2 linked regions of the Tribolium castaneum genome follow. The protein of the gene in region 1 interacts with the protein of each later gene in a biochemical or structural test. Links are inferred from orthologs where the notes say so. Each region holds a gene or a part of one and is shown on either strand. Other genes may lie near its edges.

Region 1 (8,128 bases):
CGTTTAATCGACTCGATAATCTCAAGACTCATCAGAGGATCCATACGGGTATCAAAGATACTACGAAATTGCATCTTTGTATTTATTGCGGCAAGGAGTTTAATAATTCGAGCAATATGGTGAGGATTGTTTCGTAAAAAATCACTTATTTTGACTGGTTTATTTTAGATTGTTCATATGAGACGACATACGGGGGAAAGACCGTATAAATGCAGTCAGTGTGGTAAGGGCTTTCCCAGATCGCATGATCTCAAGTGTCATGAAAGGACACACTCAGGGGAAAAACCCTACCATTGCGCGTTGTGTGGGAAATCATTCAATAAGAGCAATAAGTTGGTAAGTCTTGAAGCGGACCGCAGACTAAACATTATAAAAAATTATAAATAAATGAACAATTTTAAAAATTAAGTGCCGAAAACACAAGGAATTATATAATTACTCTCTTCATTTGGTGATTCAAAATATCACAATTTTTTTCTGAATATAATTTTAAAGAAAAATAATTGAACAATTAAGAGTTGAATGAGCGTGTTTTTTTTTGTCCAGTTACGCCACACGCGCGTCCACACCGGCGAGCGCCCCTACGTGTGCAACATTTGCGGACGGGCCTTCACCCAGTCCAACGACTTGGCGCTCCACATGCGCCGGCACACGGGGGCGCGGCCCTACGCCTGTGGCATGTGTCCGGCGCGTTTTATCCAATCCGGACAGTTGAAAACCCACCGACGTACCACCGGCCATTGGGTGGAGACCCAGCCGGACCTGAAAGGGGGCCACCGGGTCGAGCCTGTCACCCCCGTGATGGAGCCCACCCCCATTCGGTTCAAAACCCACGGCAAGAAAAAGGACGACGAGGTGGACGAAGCCAAGGGCAAAATTCTGGCCCATACGATGGGCCTGATGGGGCCGTTGAACGTCTCAGGGGAGAATCTGGTGATTGACCCGAAAATTGTCGAATTGCAAAATTCGGGTTTGATCAATTTGATGGGTGCAGGGGAGGTGAAGTTCAAAGAGGGCGGGTTTGTGGTGTCGCAGGTGAAGAGTGAGGGGGAGAAGGTTCAAGGGTTTGGGCAAGGGGGCGCCGTGACGTACTCGATAGTGGCGCCCGTGGCGAGTTCGACGACTTTCACGGCCGCGGATTATAGCAATTATCAGAATTTCGGTTGAATAGGAGAGTAATTTAAGTGATAACTTAGTTATTGTGTGTTTGAGTAAGAAGTGTCTGAAAAATAAGAGGGCGACACGCGTGACTGATGTGCCAGTTTGAAGTACGAGTAGTTTCGAACTACAGCGCCAGTTCGGATTCAGTTTTCATAGTCTGATCAATGTATATTTGTCAGTTCGTGTTTACTATTAAGAATCTATGAATAAACTTAATATATTCTGATATGAAAAATCAGAGCGCGTTTCTCATTTCTTAACTATTCCCAGTCAACACACACGAGTGCAGTTATGTAATAAACTTTAATCAAGCTATTTAAAATAACAATATAATCACAATATCCCATTTACACCGTAATAAGTTGGCCCGAACACCACGGACAATGATGTATATTCTCAGCCGGTTGTACCAAGTTACTGGTTTTAATCTCCGACAGGAGTGCGATTATTTCTTCTGCTGTTTCGGTACTTTGAGTATCACTCGGTTCGACTGTGAACGTATTCTGCGCGATTTTATTGATTTCGTTACTGATTTTCGCGTGTTCTTCGCATAGATGATTGTCGTGGTGATGTTCCAGCAATTCGGACGGAACGGCTCCTTTTTCAAGGACCAGCTTTTTCACCAATTCGTTCAATTTGTCTAGCTTGGCTTTCATCAATTCGCGGTCATTGGCTAACTGTGACAATTGCTGGTCTTTTTCAATCGCTTTTTGTTTTAATAGACTCCTCTGTTGTTGATAGAGCGCCACATACTCTCCTATCGTCTCGGTCTCACCTTGCAATTGCAACACCAGGTGTTCGAGACGTTGCTTCTCCTCTGTTAAATTGGCAATGTCTTCCATCGTCTTCAAAAATTTCTCTTCCAAATGTTTCATGGCCGCCTCTTTGTCCAAAACAATTCCATTGTGGTTGCTATCAGTGGCATCTTTTGTCTCATTCTCTCGTAACTCTTTTACGTCACTACTACACACTTTCAATTGTTTTATCTCTTCGTTCAGTTTTTCGATAGTTTGATTGGCTTGAAACAGCTCGTTTTGTAACGCTTGTGAACTATGATCCTGTGCCTCGTAATGCCTCAACCTATCGTTCAACTGTTCACTCTGCAGCAACTGTTTGTCGAGCTCGGACGAGTTCTCCCGAAGATGCGACAACTCCTTATCTTTGATTTCAATCGCGTCGGCCAAAGTTTGCAAATGCAGCTCTGTTTTTTGCAATTTTTCGAACAATTCCTTATTGTTGCGCTGCTCGATTGTCAGTTTTTCGGTCAATTCGATTTTGTCATTATTCTGTAACAATAATAATAAAGACAACTCCTTTAAAACCGAGCGTTACTTACCAACTTCATGAAAACTTCCTGCATACTGTCCATCTGATTCTTCAATTCGGTGTTTTGAGACACGGCTCTGGCCGCTGCGACTTTGTCACTTTCCATAATTGCTAATAATTTTCCACTGTCGGGCTGATTGGTCCTCAACTCCTCTACGATCCGCTCCAGCTCACTTATACTCTCTCCTTTGGCTTCCAACTCCTTCAAAAGCAACTCCTTTTCGTTTGCTGCTTTAACATTCTCCTCTTGCAACTCCACGTTTTCGGTTTTGAGTCTCTCGACTAATTCTAGGGCGGCTTCGAGTTCGGCTTTTGTTTCAGTGGTGGGTTTTTGCACGGCAAAGGACACTTGATCGTTCTGCAAATTTTGCAGTTGTTTCTCCAACTCGCCGATGTGTTTAATCCTGTCCTGTTCGCGTATCGCCAGAGATTCGTTCTCCTTCTGAGACGTCTCTAATCGAGTCGCCAGACTCGACAATTGCGCGTTCAACTGTTGGGCATATTGCTGGTACTGTAGACTAGACTCCTCCCTCTCTTTCGATAAAGTTTTAACTGTTTGGCTCAAATCGGCGACTTGTTTCTCAAGAGCGAACTTCTCCTGAGTCAGTTTCTCGATCTCACTGCTGTCTTGATCCCCAGTTGTGAGTTGCTGGATTTTAATATTGGCCATGGACAGTTGATTGGACAACTCCTTGATCTGCTGTTGGAACTCGACGCAACTTTCAGAGCTACTTTTGAGTTTTTCTCGAGCTTCAAGCAAATCCTGGAGCAGTTCCTCTTTTTCATCTTTCACAGACTGGTAGCTCTGTTTCAACTTTTCCAACTCGGAGTTTTGTTCGCGTCCCATGTTGTCGTATTGCGACTTTTCGTTCTTAAGGAGCGCAACTTCACGTTCAAGGTCTGCGACACGTGATCTGGAAGTTTTCAAGCGACCTTGTAACTCCTCGCATTCGGCTGTTTTCTGTTTCGCCGCCAACTGGAATTGGCTGAGATTTGCAACTAATTCGGCCTTTTCCGCCACGAGAATTCCCACAGTTTGGACATGACATTGTAACTCTTCTCGAAGAGTGCTAACTTCGTGCTCTACTCTAGTATCGGTGTTCAATTGTTTGTCTTTAAGCTCGGCCTCTAATTGGCTGAGCTTCGTTTGATATTCTCTCAAACTAGCGTTCAGTTCTTCATTTTTCACCTTTTCCTGATTGAGCAGTTCCGCCAACTCTTGATTCCGAATTTCTAGCGGTGACTCGCCCCCCAGTGGCTCATTTTCAGGGGGGCTTATTAATTCGGCCATTTGGTCCTGCAACTGGCGCAGACTCTCAACTGTGGACAACTGGGGGCGTGGGGAAGGTTTCTGGTCAAATTTGACGCTGTCAAAGGCTTGGAAGTTGGAAATTTCGTCATTTTTATTGTCTTCAGGTACTGAAAACGCGTGGTTTTGGTCACCATTGAGATTATTTGAGGGCGTGATGCACGCGAAAGGGTCGTTATTTTGTGAAAAATTATCGAAAAATGCCGTTGGCTGCTGATAGCCGTTGTTGAAGTTTACATTACTGAAGTAATTTGGAAGTTGCGCTGGTTCATTTGTGAGACCTTCCACAGGTGTCTGCTCGCGACTTGTGGGTGGTGACTCGACAAGTTCGGGTGCTTTCTGGGCAGTGTTCTTCTTTTTTTCCTTTTTTAATTCCTTGAACTAGAAGCAAAACAATGATGTGGCCTAATTGGACTAGGGGGTTTTAAAAAAAGCGTGTGCATTTTCTCATTACCTAGACGTGTTAGAAGCTAAACAAGCGTAAATGGCATTTTTTGGTAATTACCTTTTTTCTAGCAGATGCCAATTTTTGGGCTTTTGACACATCTGCCATATTTTTTGTTGACATGTGTCAAACACGTCACAGTTTAAATGTCATCGAAATAGGGGATTTCATGATGAGGGTTGGTGCAAGAGGTATAAAAGTCGCGTTACGTTGGCAATGGTGCTATTTTCCGGTGAGTTTTTGTCTGGTTCGTTCGTTTACAATGTTTATCCGCAAAAATCTTGCAAAAGAAATGCAATCTACTGATTTTACACAACTAGAAATTAAGAAAATGAAGGTGAGTTATGGATTTGTTATGTTGATTCTAGTATTTTTGCGGTAGTAGCATCATTATGATGATTTTTTTTATAACCTGAATGTCTCTGTTGATTCAAAAACGAGCTTTTTAATACTGACTTTTCCATTAAATTCATTCATTTTTCAACTACGATATGTATTTGTGTTGATTTCTGTGATCTATTTGCAGATTTCGTGAAAATGAAGTGGAAAAAATCATGACACTTAGTGCATTCAGGTGAGTGGCAGTTGTTTTTATTATACTTGCAAAGGTGTACTGATATTATTTGGTTTTTTGTTTTTTAATTGTTACAACTTCATCTAATTTACATTTTGCTCTAGATTGTTCCTAAAGTGAGGCCTGAACAAAAGAGTTGTCAACTACTATGATTCCAGCTTAGGCCTAGACGGTAGGTTGTAATATTTTATTTTGTTTTATAAACTAAATTTTAAATGATGATCAAGTATTTGCTATCTGAGTTACTGTGCAGATAACCTTTACTACCACCAAAAAAGTAAGACTGAGTTGGGAAGCAATTTCTCAACAAAAACCATTGGTTTGAGTTGATATAATGTGTTTAATTTTTTTGCAGTTCATTGACGATGAGGAAAAATCAAACTGTACTACAAAACTCTGAGGTAAGTGTGCATGTTTAATATTTTTGTTTTTTCTATTTATCTACAATGATGTTAAGAATTTCTTCACCTGATAGTTTCATCAACTAACTGAAGACAGTTGACTCTGAGACTTGAACTTATGTTTTAATTATAAGTATGAGAGAAAGACAGTTTGGTAATAAAAAATTTTATTTACAGGACACAACTAATAAATCTTCTCTTTACTTTTTTTCTTATAATTATAATCCTTGGCGATATCGATGTATTCCCTTGGGTATATGTACTCCAAAAACTGCAACATTAGATAACACAAAGAGACCGCCAGTAAAAATGGCCAAACACCACTTGTTTTGTAACTAAAATAAAAACAGAAAAGTTAAATTGAGTATTAATGAGTTCAACCTCACCTCCATAATTGCTCCTGTAATGTTTTATTCCTTTCTTGCATAACTTTCTGATACACGATTTCCGTCCGTTTTGAAACGTTCTCCCAGTTGTAATAATTTTTTATCCTCAAATTACACAAGTACGGACAATTAACTTTGTTATTTTTCAAATCATCAATTGCGGTTTCGAGGGTTTTAATAAGAGAAGGGACGTTTGGTTCAGTCAAGTAAATCAAATCTTCAGGCAACACTTCTGGGATTCCCCCAACTCGGGTCGAAACGACTTGTAATCTATAAAAATTAGCCAAGTTACCAAAGTTTATTGTGACTTTGGGAAGCAAACCCGCATGAAACCGCTTCTACTATAGCCATACAATACGCTTCAGTCAGGGAAGTGTTGAGGAAAATATGCCCTTGGTTTAGTACATTGCGAACAAGGGAATGCTCCAGGCTACCCAAAAGGGTGACCCTATCGTGCAACCCTTGCCTTTCCCGTATTTCCTCAAGCAATCTATGAAATTGATTATGATATTTGAGGCTAAAAAATAGGGTTTTTGTGTTTACCCGCGCTTGGGTCCGTCGCCTGCGATTAAAAAGTTGATTTTATCGTGTTTACTGCACATTTCTGAAATAATTTGGGCCGTCAAATCCACGCCTTTGCGGTAAACTAGTCTTGAAACCACGACTATTGTGACTAAAAAAAACCTTCGTAAATGTTTAATTTTATAATTAGAAGATTTTTTTATACTAAATTCGCTCGATCTTTGGCTGGGATCCGGCATAAATGCACATGTATCAACTGCGTTTGGAATCACAGAAACCCTTTTACTGCTGACTTTTGCCCGCAGCACCGTATTTTCTTTCCCAGTGTGTGAAACACAAATCCAGTGATTGCAATCTGTTAACGACATTTGTAACAATTTATTTGTTATAACCGCACTAGCGTCAGCAAAACCAAACAAACTGTGGTCCGTAAAGACAGTCTGCAAATAAATAAATAATTTTGAATCGTATTGAGAGGGTTGTATACCCTTAATCCCATTAAATTTCCGATTACCAGCGCCTCGTGTGCAAGGGCTGAAAATGCCGAATGGCCGTGAATTATCTCAATTTGTTCCCTTATCAAAATGTTGCGAATTAGGGGCACATTGCATATCATTGTCGGCAGAATCGACTGGTTATAAAACACCCTAATTGGAAGGTAATAGACCTTCAGACCGTTGGTTTTGTAACGAATTCCGACACAATCGCCGTAACTGTGTGTCATAACCACAACTTTGTGCCCCTCAAGGAGCAAACACTGGGAGAGGTTATAAATGTGTTCCTCGACCCCGCCCATGTTGGGGAAGAAAAAATCAGAAACCATACTAAAATGTATGTTTGATAACGCATTTAATTGATGAAATTGATAAAATTACCAAATTTTGTAACCCATATTTGAGGTTATCTTGACATTTTTAGGACATTTTGATTTTTTGGTTGGTGATGTAAGGAGCGGGGAATTCGAACACGGGGTGTAGTAATGCTGTTTATTAGATGTTCTCAATAAATATAACAAAGATACATTCGTTTAACTTCTTATTTCTTTAATAGCGTAACTAAAATAAATATAGACTTCTTAAGCAAAAAATAAATATAAAATTTTATACCAAAATATAAAATTCATTGTACTATTTCGTTTAAAACAAACGATTTTCTCTTTTATAAAGCGGTCGTCCACGCATAACCGCAGCGTCGGTAATTCCTGGAAAAACCCAAAAATTTCCAAAAGTTGTTTTTCGAGAACCTACCCGACACTTCGATTCAGTTAAAGCGGTCTAAATTTCTAAATCCCTACTTAAAGTATTATCAAAATCTTTAAATATTAGGCCAGATAGAACTTTTGATTAGGTACAGTATTGCTTAGGTTTATCTTGGAATGTAATAGGAATGTAAACGTGCCAAACCTTCTTGACATCTAATAAATTTATTGTTTTCGTGATATTGTGGGTTCATTTTGGTCCACAGTGGTTTTTGTACAATCCGTATAAACCCAAGCCGAGTTTTCGATTCTCTTTCAATCAACTAGACATTTTAGTAAATCTAGCACTGTACAGACTATAAAGTAGAAGAAGAAAAGGATCACTATACAAGACACAAGGGAGTTTATAAATGTATGCTAGGTGTGGTCCTCGTTGGGGGGCCTTTGCTCCTGACTACTGCAGTTCCAGGACAAACGTTTGTGGATGCTTGCATCTCTCGTACCGTTTTTCTATAATTCAAGTAATCACAAAATCGTACAAAATCAATCTGTGGTCACCTTTATATCATCCACGACACCCGCAGTATGATATCGCTTATCATTTCTATAAATTCGTTTCATGGCTTGGCGGTGATGTCCTCTGCTAAAAGATTCGCACTGATCCTCGGAAGGGGACACACCTAAACAAGACCAACCATAAAACACTAGAAATAAAAATACGCGAGTAAAAAATGGATAAAAACTGCAACCATAGTCTGCCTTGTTGCAGTACGACGTGTCGTATACAAAGGAAGAAGCTTATGCAA
Region 2 (7,887 bases), on another chromosome or scaffold:
GTATTGCAACAGTAAGGCATTTTCGTGTTCACTCAAACTCAGTTCGGACATCCCATTGGACAAGTCCCTTTGCACCCCCAAAGCCTTAATAATGACAGGCTCTAGCGCCTTGAAGAGCTTACAAAACTCAAACTCTAGTAGCAACTCACTGGAATGTTTGGCCCGAATTTGGGGTTGTTTTGCCGCTTTGGCGTACACTTCATGTCTCGAAATCTCCCCCAGTTTCGTACAATACGTCTCAGTCCCCACTCGCTTCTCAATTAGTTGAGACAAGTTTTCTTTCGAGTAGTTTTGCACAGAGTTATCGTTAAAGGCAACGCAGAGACCCATCAAAAACGCGCATAGACCTTGCAATATTTCCTCGTTATTGTCGAATTCGCTGGCGCTTGTCTGCGCTGTGAGGAAGGCCATAGCCCCAGGCACGTTCAGGAAGACTTGAACGGCTTGGGGACAGTGACTCATCCACATGGCTAACAGCATCAGAATACCGATTTTGGCCTGGAGTTTGGTGGTTTGTTGGAGGAAAACGGCACATTGGTGCAGGAGGCTAACGGGTTGGGAGCCAAGGTTTGTGGCAAGGAGGACTCTCAGGAGTTGTTCTCTCTGAGCGGGGTTTTCGATCAGGGTGTGACTTAGAGCCACCGAACTGAACCAGCAACTGAGGGAGTCTGCGCTGAACAGACCCCCACAGAGGAGTTGCCCGGTGGTTAGAGTCGAGTTGGTGGAGCTAGGGAGGAGGGTTTGGACCACTTGTTCCTGGCCAATCTCGTTTTTGAAGAGGAAACATTGGAAGCAATACAAAACAGCGCAACGTAGGGTAAAGGGTTGCTTTTCGTTGACCATGGACATTAGTAATACTACTATGGCGGGTCGTGGGGGGTTTGAAGGCGCCATGACACCCGCAAAGTACTCCTGATTGGTCAAATTGCCCCTTATTACCTCGCCCACTGTGTTAATAGTCTCGGTTAAAATATCGGCGGGGACCCCACTTGCCATTAAAATATTACAAAGGGCTTCAAGTAAATTGGCATTTCGCATTGTCTTTTGGCACGAAGTGACAATCTGGACTGGGTTTGTGGGCGAGACTAGAGTCCTGACCAATTGCAGGACGCAATGCATGTTAGACACTTTCTGGGGGCTCCACCCAACTTCCTCCAAGTTGTCCGGGAGGATAAACATGGGGGCTAACTTCTGTATGTATGATCCTTCTTTGAAAAAATTGATGTTGCTTGTGTTATTTTTGAGGAGGTTGAGCATCAGTAGCATGCAATCCTCAACCACAATGCCCCCATCTGTAAAACCCTCTTCCCGTATAACATCAAACAATCGGTCGAAGGCGTTTTCAAAAGCCACAATTTTTTGGATGTTGGCGTTTGATTTTGTCAAGTTAATCAAAAGAAGCAAAGCGTCGTTCCGGATCACTTCGCGACTTTCGACCAACAAATCCATAAGTTTTGAAACCCCCATGGGGCTCACGAGGATCACATCTTGGATTTCTTTAGGTTTACTTGCCAGAAGTGAAGTGAGCAGCTTGACAGCTGGCCATCTAACCCTAAAATCGCGGGAACCTCTACTTTAGCCACACTCGAAACACTTGAAAGATAATTAAAAGCTCAATTCGGAAATAAAATTAACTAGACGCCCTCTGGTGATGACTTTTGAACTATGTCGAAAACAGTAAAGAAATTTTCGTAATGCCACATTTAACTGACATTTAATGAATTGTTCAATAATTTTGCGTATATAGTGTTAATTACTTACAATAGAAAGAATTACTTTAAAAGTACGTGGTGGTAAATACTAGCGTTGACTTTGGTTCTGTAGTTTTTCGTGGTATAAAGTGTTTATTGTTGGAACTTGAAAGTGGATAAAAAGTGAAAAATATTTAAATTTTGATTACAAAGTGTTATCAAACAGTTGTCTAATTAAAGATTATAAGTAATGGATCACAGCGAACACAAAGTTTGGCTCAAGAAACCAATAAATTAGTGAAGTGTTATGAATTTTAGGTTAGAATTTTCCACTGAAAAAATCATGAAATGCTGCGGTAAATCTACAAAACTACAATAAAGATTAACAACTGCTGATACATTTAAACGTAAATTATGCCAAAAGGTAGGCTTTTCAATGTCTTTGTAATAATTTTCCAATAAAGAAAGTGAACCAAACAGTCATTCGTTATTCGTGTTTTCCTCGTCATCTCTCATTTGTCAACATAAGTTTCTTGCATCAAAGATGAAATAATCATTCCGCATAGGCAATGTAATAATTGTGAAGCCCCAAAATTCGTACAACGCTCAAAATATCCGAATAAACATTTTCCCGCCATTTATGGTTACTGTTTTCGACCTAGCTCAGTGGCGCCCCCAACGGTAATTTTACTTCCGAATACCTCCTTCCTTGTGGTAAAGGTTAGTTTACCGATAATAAGCGACTTCATCCGATCAAACACAAACATTATTAAATGGGTGAAAATATCTTAATTTAGACCGTTTTCGCGTGCTTTAACACGTATTTCTCTGGTGAAAGCTGTAAATTCAGTAAATTCAGTGTAGTTTTTACTTTTTAATAAATCGAAACCAAAAAATTAAGAAATATTCTAAAATAGATCGAAATCGATCTTATTTCATCTGCTTCAGTCGACTTATTGATAGTTTCTGAGAGAAATTTCGCCAAAATAAGCCGACGAATCACAAAACCTGATGGCAGTTGGAGTTGTCTTTACTTATTTTGAGCCCCTAAGTACATTAAATTTTCAATAATTTTGTAAAATTTCAGTTAAAACCGACCGTAAATTTATCTAATTACAAAAAAAGTACTCTACTATATTGCATTTATAAGCATTTTAGTTTGTTTTACAGTTAGGAATGCTAGCACTTTCGTTAAAAATAAGCTTGAAAATCATTAAATTAAACAAAAAATAATGTTATTTTTGTCTTAAGCAAGTTTCAATCAATAAAATCGATCAAGAAAATTATAAAAATAATTCGAAATTGATGGTAATTTGGTCAAAAATAATGTTATTTTTATCTTTTTTTACCCCCTAAGTACGATTTCGAACTAGAATTTCAAAATTTTTGAACGATTTCGCTCAAACAGGTCTAAAAATTACCAAGTTATGCAATTAATTGTACTATTCTTGCTCTTCTCGAGCGGTTTTACTAGTTTTCCAGTCAGAAACGAAATGAATTTACAAAATTTCAATAAAACAAACTGAAAAATTTTTAAAGTAAAAACTTATTTTTTTCCAAAAACTAGGCTAAAATTGAAAACTAAAACTCATAAAAATACATGATTATGTAGTTCGTTTTAGAACACAATTTCGACAAAAATAAACAATTTGCGTAAAAGTAGTGTCATTTTTATAATTTTCCAACCTCTAAGCACGTTTTCAAAGTAAAATCTAAAGGTTTTTTGCGAGATATCGCTAAAATATGCCAAAAAACACTACAAATAAAATATACAATCAAATTTTTGTTGTTAATTAGCGCTTTAGCTTGTGATTTAGTCAGAAACAAAATTATTTTCTGTATTTTTAGTATGTTTATCAGCTAAAAACTTATTTTTTTGCAAAAAACACAGTATGTCTGTTTAAAAAATCGAAATTAATTTTGACTTAGCTTTGTTTTGCTAAAAACTAGAAGAACAAATCAAAATTGATATTTGACTCGATTTACCTTGTTATTTACAAAGCCAGTAGATATACTGTATATCTACTGGCTTTGGTTATTTATTGAAATTTTGTCAAAAATAAACGAAACATCAATTTGGTTAAAAATAATAATGTTATTTTTGACTTTTTCTCATCTCTAAACTTGTTTTTGAATAAAAAATCTTAGGGTTTTTGTCAGATATTGTTAAACTAGTTCGAAAAATACTTAATTAAATGATAACTCATTTTTGCTTTTTGGACCGTTTTAGCTTATTTTTTGGTTAGAAATAAAAATAGTATTTCACGAGATTTCACTAAAAATAGTACGTCTAAGTTCATTTTTTATTTAAAAACTTTAGTTTTTTGTCAAAACTGCTTAAAACAAATTACCGTTATTTTGACCTGTATCACTCTATTTAAACCGTTTGAAAATACATATATTAGTCAAAATTGCAAATTTGCCCAAAAATAGTGTTATTCTTAACAATTTTTAGGTGTTTGAGTACGTTGTTGAACTAAAATGTTGGTTTTTGTGAGAGAAAAACTACTCACTTAACTCAAACATCACATTATTTCTGATTTCTATCGAACTTTTTTCAAATATAAACACACTTAATTTTAATTTTCAAAATTTCGTAAAATCACAGAGTAAGAATCTCCACAAGGAAAGAGGTGCAAAGGTGTGATCAGTCATTAGTTAAAGCAATTATTACCTAAAGTCGTACTCCTCCAAAAAACTCAAAACCAGGGTCACATTTTCGGCATTTTTGATAAACATTTCAGTGAACTGCTCCCCCACATTGACCTTAATGTTTAAATTACTCTCACTCTCCTCCTCAAAAACCTCCTTCGAGGTGATATTACACAACGTATCGAGACAATAGCCGATGATTTCGCAGTCAGAGCGGTCCAACTCCAGGACCTGTCTCAACACATCCATGCCTTGGGCCCCCACTTCGAGGCGATATTTCCGAGACAGGGCCTTAAGGGCCCGACATGCGTCGCGACGGTCCTCCAGTAACGTCGAAGTACTGACCCGACTCACAAGCCGCTCCACCTAAAAGTGGGGTTAGGGGCGGTCAGGACAGCTGTTTGGGGTTTCGGGGGCACTTACGGTCTCGGCACCCGTGGGCTGGGTGCCGGGGGCCGGGGCCCCCAGCACCGACTTCAAACCGCTCCGGAAGTACTCCATTTCACGAAATTAACACAAATTGTTTGAAATTTTTGACATTTTGACGTGACATGTATACAAAGAAACGTCAATAGCGCAGTTTTTGAAACGCACAAAAGGGGGCACTTTTTGTGTGTTAATTTCAAAGACATAATTTCAAAGATATTAGAGGTATTTGGTTAATTTTCTATGTTTGGACGTAGCTCAGTGGCGTTTTATAATTTTACTTCTGAACTGAAAAAGTTTGGGCAGGTTTATGATACAGCGACCTGTTATTGTCCGCTTGGGTTAGTGGGTGGAAGATGGCGCCCTCAGTCAAAGTGTCACATAAATGTCGCGTTTTTTGGCGGGAATATGAATAAGGGGTTTCAAGAGGGTGAACACGAGTTTCTTTTTCCAAATCGGGACAAATATTCGGGTCACTTTTGCGCTCATGTTAGTGGTTTAGCATGGAGGCAAGGCCATGGTGTTTACGAAACGCACGATTTGCAATTTTACGAAGGAAACTGGAAGGACGATAAATTAAATGAAAACGAAAATGTGCGCATTATGTTCAAAAATAACGACACTTTTGAGGGAAAAATCAAAAAGTACAAGTACAACGGTCCAGGGACATACACTTTTCGTAGGGGAGGCCGGTTGTGTTGCGAATTTTTGAATAATAAGCCTTCGGGGAATGTGATTTTTATTGATTACAAGGGACACCTTTGGCATGGTAATTTTTCAGTTTTGTGATTACGAATGAAATAAATTTAAGTGTAATTAAGGTAAGGCCGGCCCTGAGCACACGCTGCTGTACCGTGAGCACATTTTTTCGCAAGAACTGGACCGAGAAAGGGGCAAAGGGCGCCCTATAATCAAAGAAACAACAATTCCGAGTGAAGAAGAAAAAGAAGGCGAAACGAGTGAAGTGGAAACACCAGACTTGAAAGAATTAGAGAGACAAGTCTTCGCCAAAAGCACCAAAACCAAGTCCGTTATTGATTTCGAAGACTCTGACTGGTTCAGAGACTACCAGAAGAACAAAGAAATGAAGCAAACCGTCTTTGAGAAAATTTCAACTCTGGGAGTTTCGAGCCTCACCGATGACGAAAAAGCGTGGTACAAAAAATATTACACGAGTGCAAAAATTCGCGAAGATTGGAAGAAGCCGAAGAAAATCAACCACGATTTGTTGCGCCAACACTTCGATGAAGAATCGAAAAATACGTGCGCGCCAAGTTGCATTTTTTATGCTTCAAATTTTGGTGAAGGCTAAAATTAATTAAAATTTATTTGTGATTGGTATCGGGACACCTGGGGTCGTGGGCGACTCGAATTTGAAAAATAAAGATTTTGTGATAAATTTGAATATAATTAGGTTCTTGTGTTTGACTCCCAGTCGGGCTAAGTCTGAAATATTGGCCCCAAACCAATTATAATTATTTATTTAAATCGTCGGGAATTAATCATTTTGTAATTTATTTATTTTATACAACAAAGTAGCTGTTTATTTAGGTTTAATTTATTGCACCAGTAGTTTTTATTTAAATACAATTTTCCATCTGTTTGCCTTAAAAAATCAACAGTTTCAAGCTGGGCTATTATTAGAAAATAATGTACGTAACAGATGGCCGAAATTAGCAACAATTCACCTGCCAATAATAATAAGTTGCGGTAGAATATTTAAATTGGGCGATTTTTACTAATTGGCCACAAATTTAACAAAGTGATGAAATCGTGCAAAAAATGGGCCATTCGAGCTGTAGTGCAACTGATTAAGAAAAAAACTTAGCTCAGTTTTAGTCCGTTACTATTTTTTTACTAATTGATTTAGTTAATTTATTAATTAATCTTGTTGCTTACCCGTAATTAATTTTTGTTTAGTCACCGTATAACGTACCCTCGAAAAATCAAGAAATAAATCTTGTTTTTTAAACTCTCTTATTAAAAGTGCAAAAAACGACATTTGGTTCTGTTTAATTGTTTCCTCATTTTTCTTCTAGTTTTTGGTTGATTTTCAGCCCATAATTTCGATAGTACGAGCTTTAAACCTTTTAGTTTAAATTAAATATTTAGTGTCGTCGGAAAACCTGTTTTAATTAAGTATTTATCAAATTGATAGTACATATTTTATACAATAAGTATTTAATGATAGCACGAGCCGTAAGCGAGTGTCGCAGTAAGTATAAGTATATGTAGGTATACTTAGTGTCTTAGCATCTAGCTATTAAATTCGAGCTGCATACACTATTTTTTCTACAATGAGATGGCTCACAATAAAAAAATATAATTTTATTGTGAAACGGTCCAGGCAATCTACTAATTGCTGATATTCAGATTTCGTCTAAGACCAAATAAAATATAAAAGTAGAAAAAAAAAACATTATTCAACAAGTAATACCTATGTAGGAAATTCCTAAGAAAAAATTGATGGTAATTTAAATACTACTGAGAAATATTGCGGCGGTTTTCTAGATGCCAATAGACTTCTTAAAACCAATTTACTTTCTCTGAATATTTGCCGAAGAGTTTTGAGTTAATTGAGAAAATAAAACAATAAAAAAACAAAACAAAATAAAATAAAATAGAAAAATACCTTACCATACAAAAAGCCGATTTTAAACATGTTTCAAACTTGATTTAAACCGAGATTTACATCTTGTCTGATAGATTTTGACGTCTTTACCATGGACTTTTTGCGCTAGCTCGAATAATTTCGGCGTAATTGCGATAATTCTAACACATGTTTTATCTCTTTCTCCGAAACTAAGCATAAAATTTGTGGCAAAAATTGAAAAAATAAAAAAAATTGCACCAAAAAACATTTAACTAAAAGTCCTAAGACAAAACGGTTTGTTCCGAATTTATTTTTTTTATTTTTTATTTTTTTATAATCAATAATAATAATAATAATGATAATGATAATGATAATGATAATGATAATGATAATGATAATGATAATGATAATGATAATAATAATAATAATAATGATAAAGATAATGATAATGATAATGATAATAATAATAATAATAATAATAATAATAATAATAATAATAATAATAATAATAATAATAATAAATAA

The links. The genes of interacting proteins can lie anywhere in the genome.
Region 2: the proteins of golgin subfamily A member 2 (region 1) and p115 form a complex in vitro, tested with the Homo sapiens proteins (2 studies listed by BioGRID). The link is inferred for Tribolium castaneum from reciprocal best matches to the Homo sapiens genes GOLGA2 and USO1.

What each region holds. Positions count from the first base shown.
Region 1 is NC_087398.1:3,527,081-3,535,208, forward strand, and holds golgin subfamily A member 2, read right to left. Parts: upstream 4,420-8,128; 5' UTR 4,365-4,419; coding exon 4,302-4,364; intron 4,178-4,301; coding exon 2,498-4,177; intron 2,448-2,497; coding exon 1,509-2,447; 3' UTR 1,446-1,508; downstream 1-1,445. Other genes in the region: zinc finger protein ZFP2, read left to right, coding at 1-119, 169-336, 547-1,167; PIG-A (phosphatidylinositol N-acetylglucosaminyltransferase subunit A), read right to left, coding at 5,401-5,551, 5,603-5,872, 5,925-6,092, 6,146-6,275, 6,330-6,564, 6,612-6,948, 7,000-7,016; pleckstrin homology domain-containing family G member 5, read right to left, coding at 7,740-7,832, 7,881-8,002. UniProt on the Homo sapiens protein: Peripheral membrane component of the cis-Golgi stack that acts as a membrane skeleton that maintains the structure of the Golgi apparatus, and as a vesicle thether that facilitates vesicle fusion to the Golgi membrane.
Region 2 is NC_087399.1:6,663,435-6,671,321, forward strand, and holds the start of p115 (general vesicular transport factor p115), read right to left. Parts: upstream 4,928-7,887; 5' UTR 4,845-4,927; coding exon 4,767-4,844; intron 4,710-4,766; coding exon 4,366-4,709; intron 1,553-4,365; coding exon 1-1,552. Other genes in the region: radial spoke head 1 homolog, read left to right, coding at 5,178-5,538, 5,591-6,081. UniProt on the Homo sapiens protein: General vesicular transport factor required for intercisternal transport in the Golgi stack; it is required for transcytotic fusion and/or subsequent binding of the vesicles to the target membrane.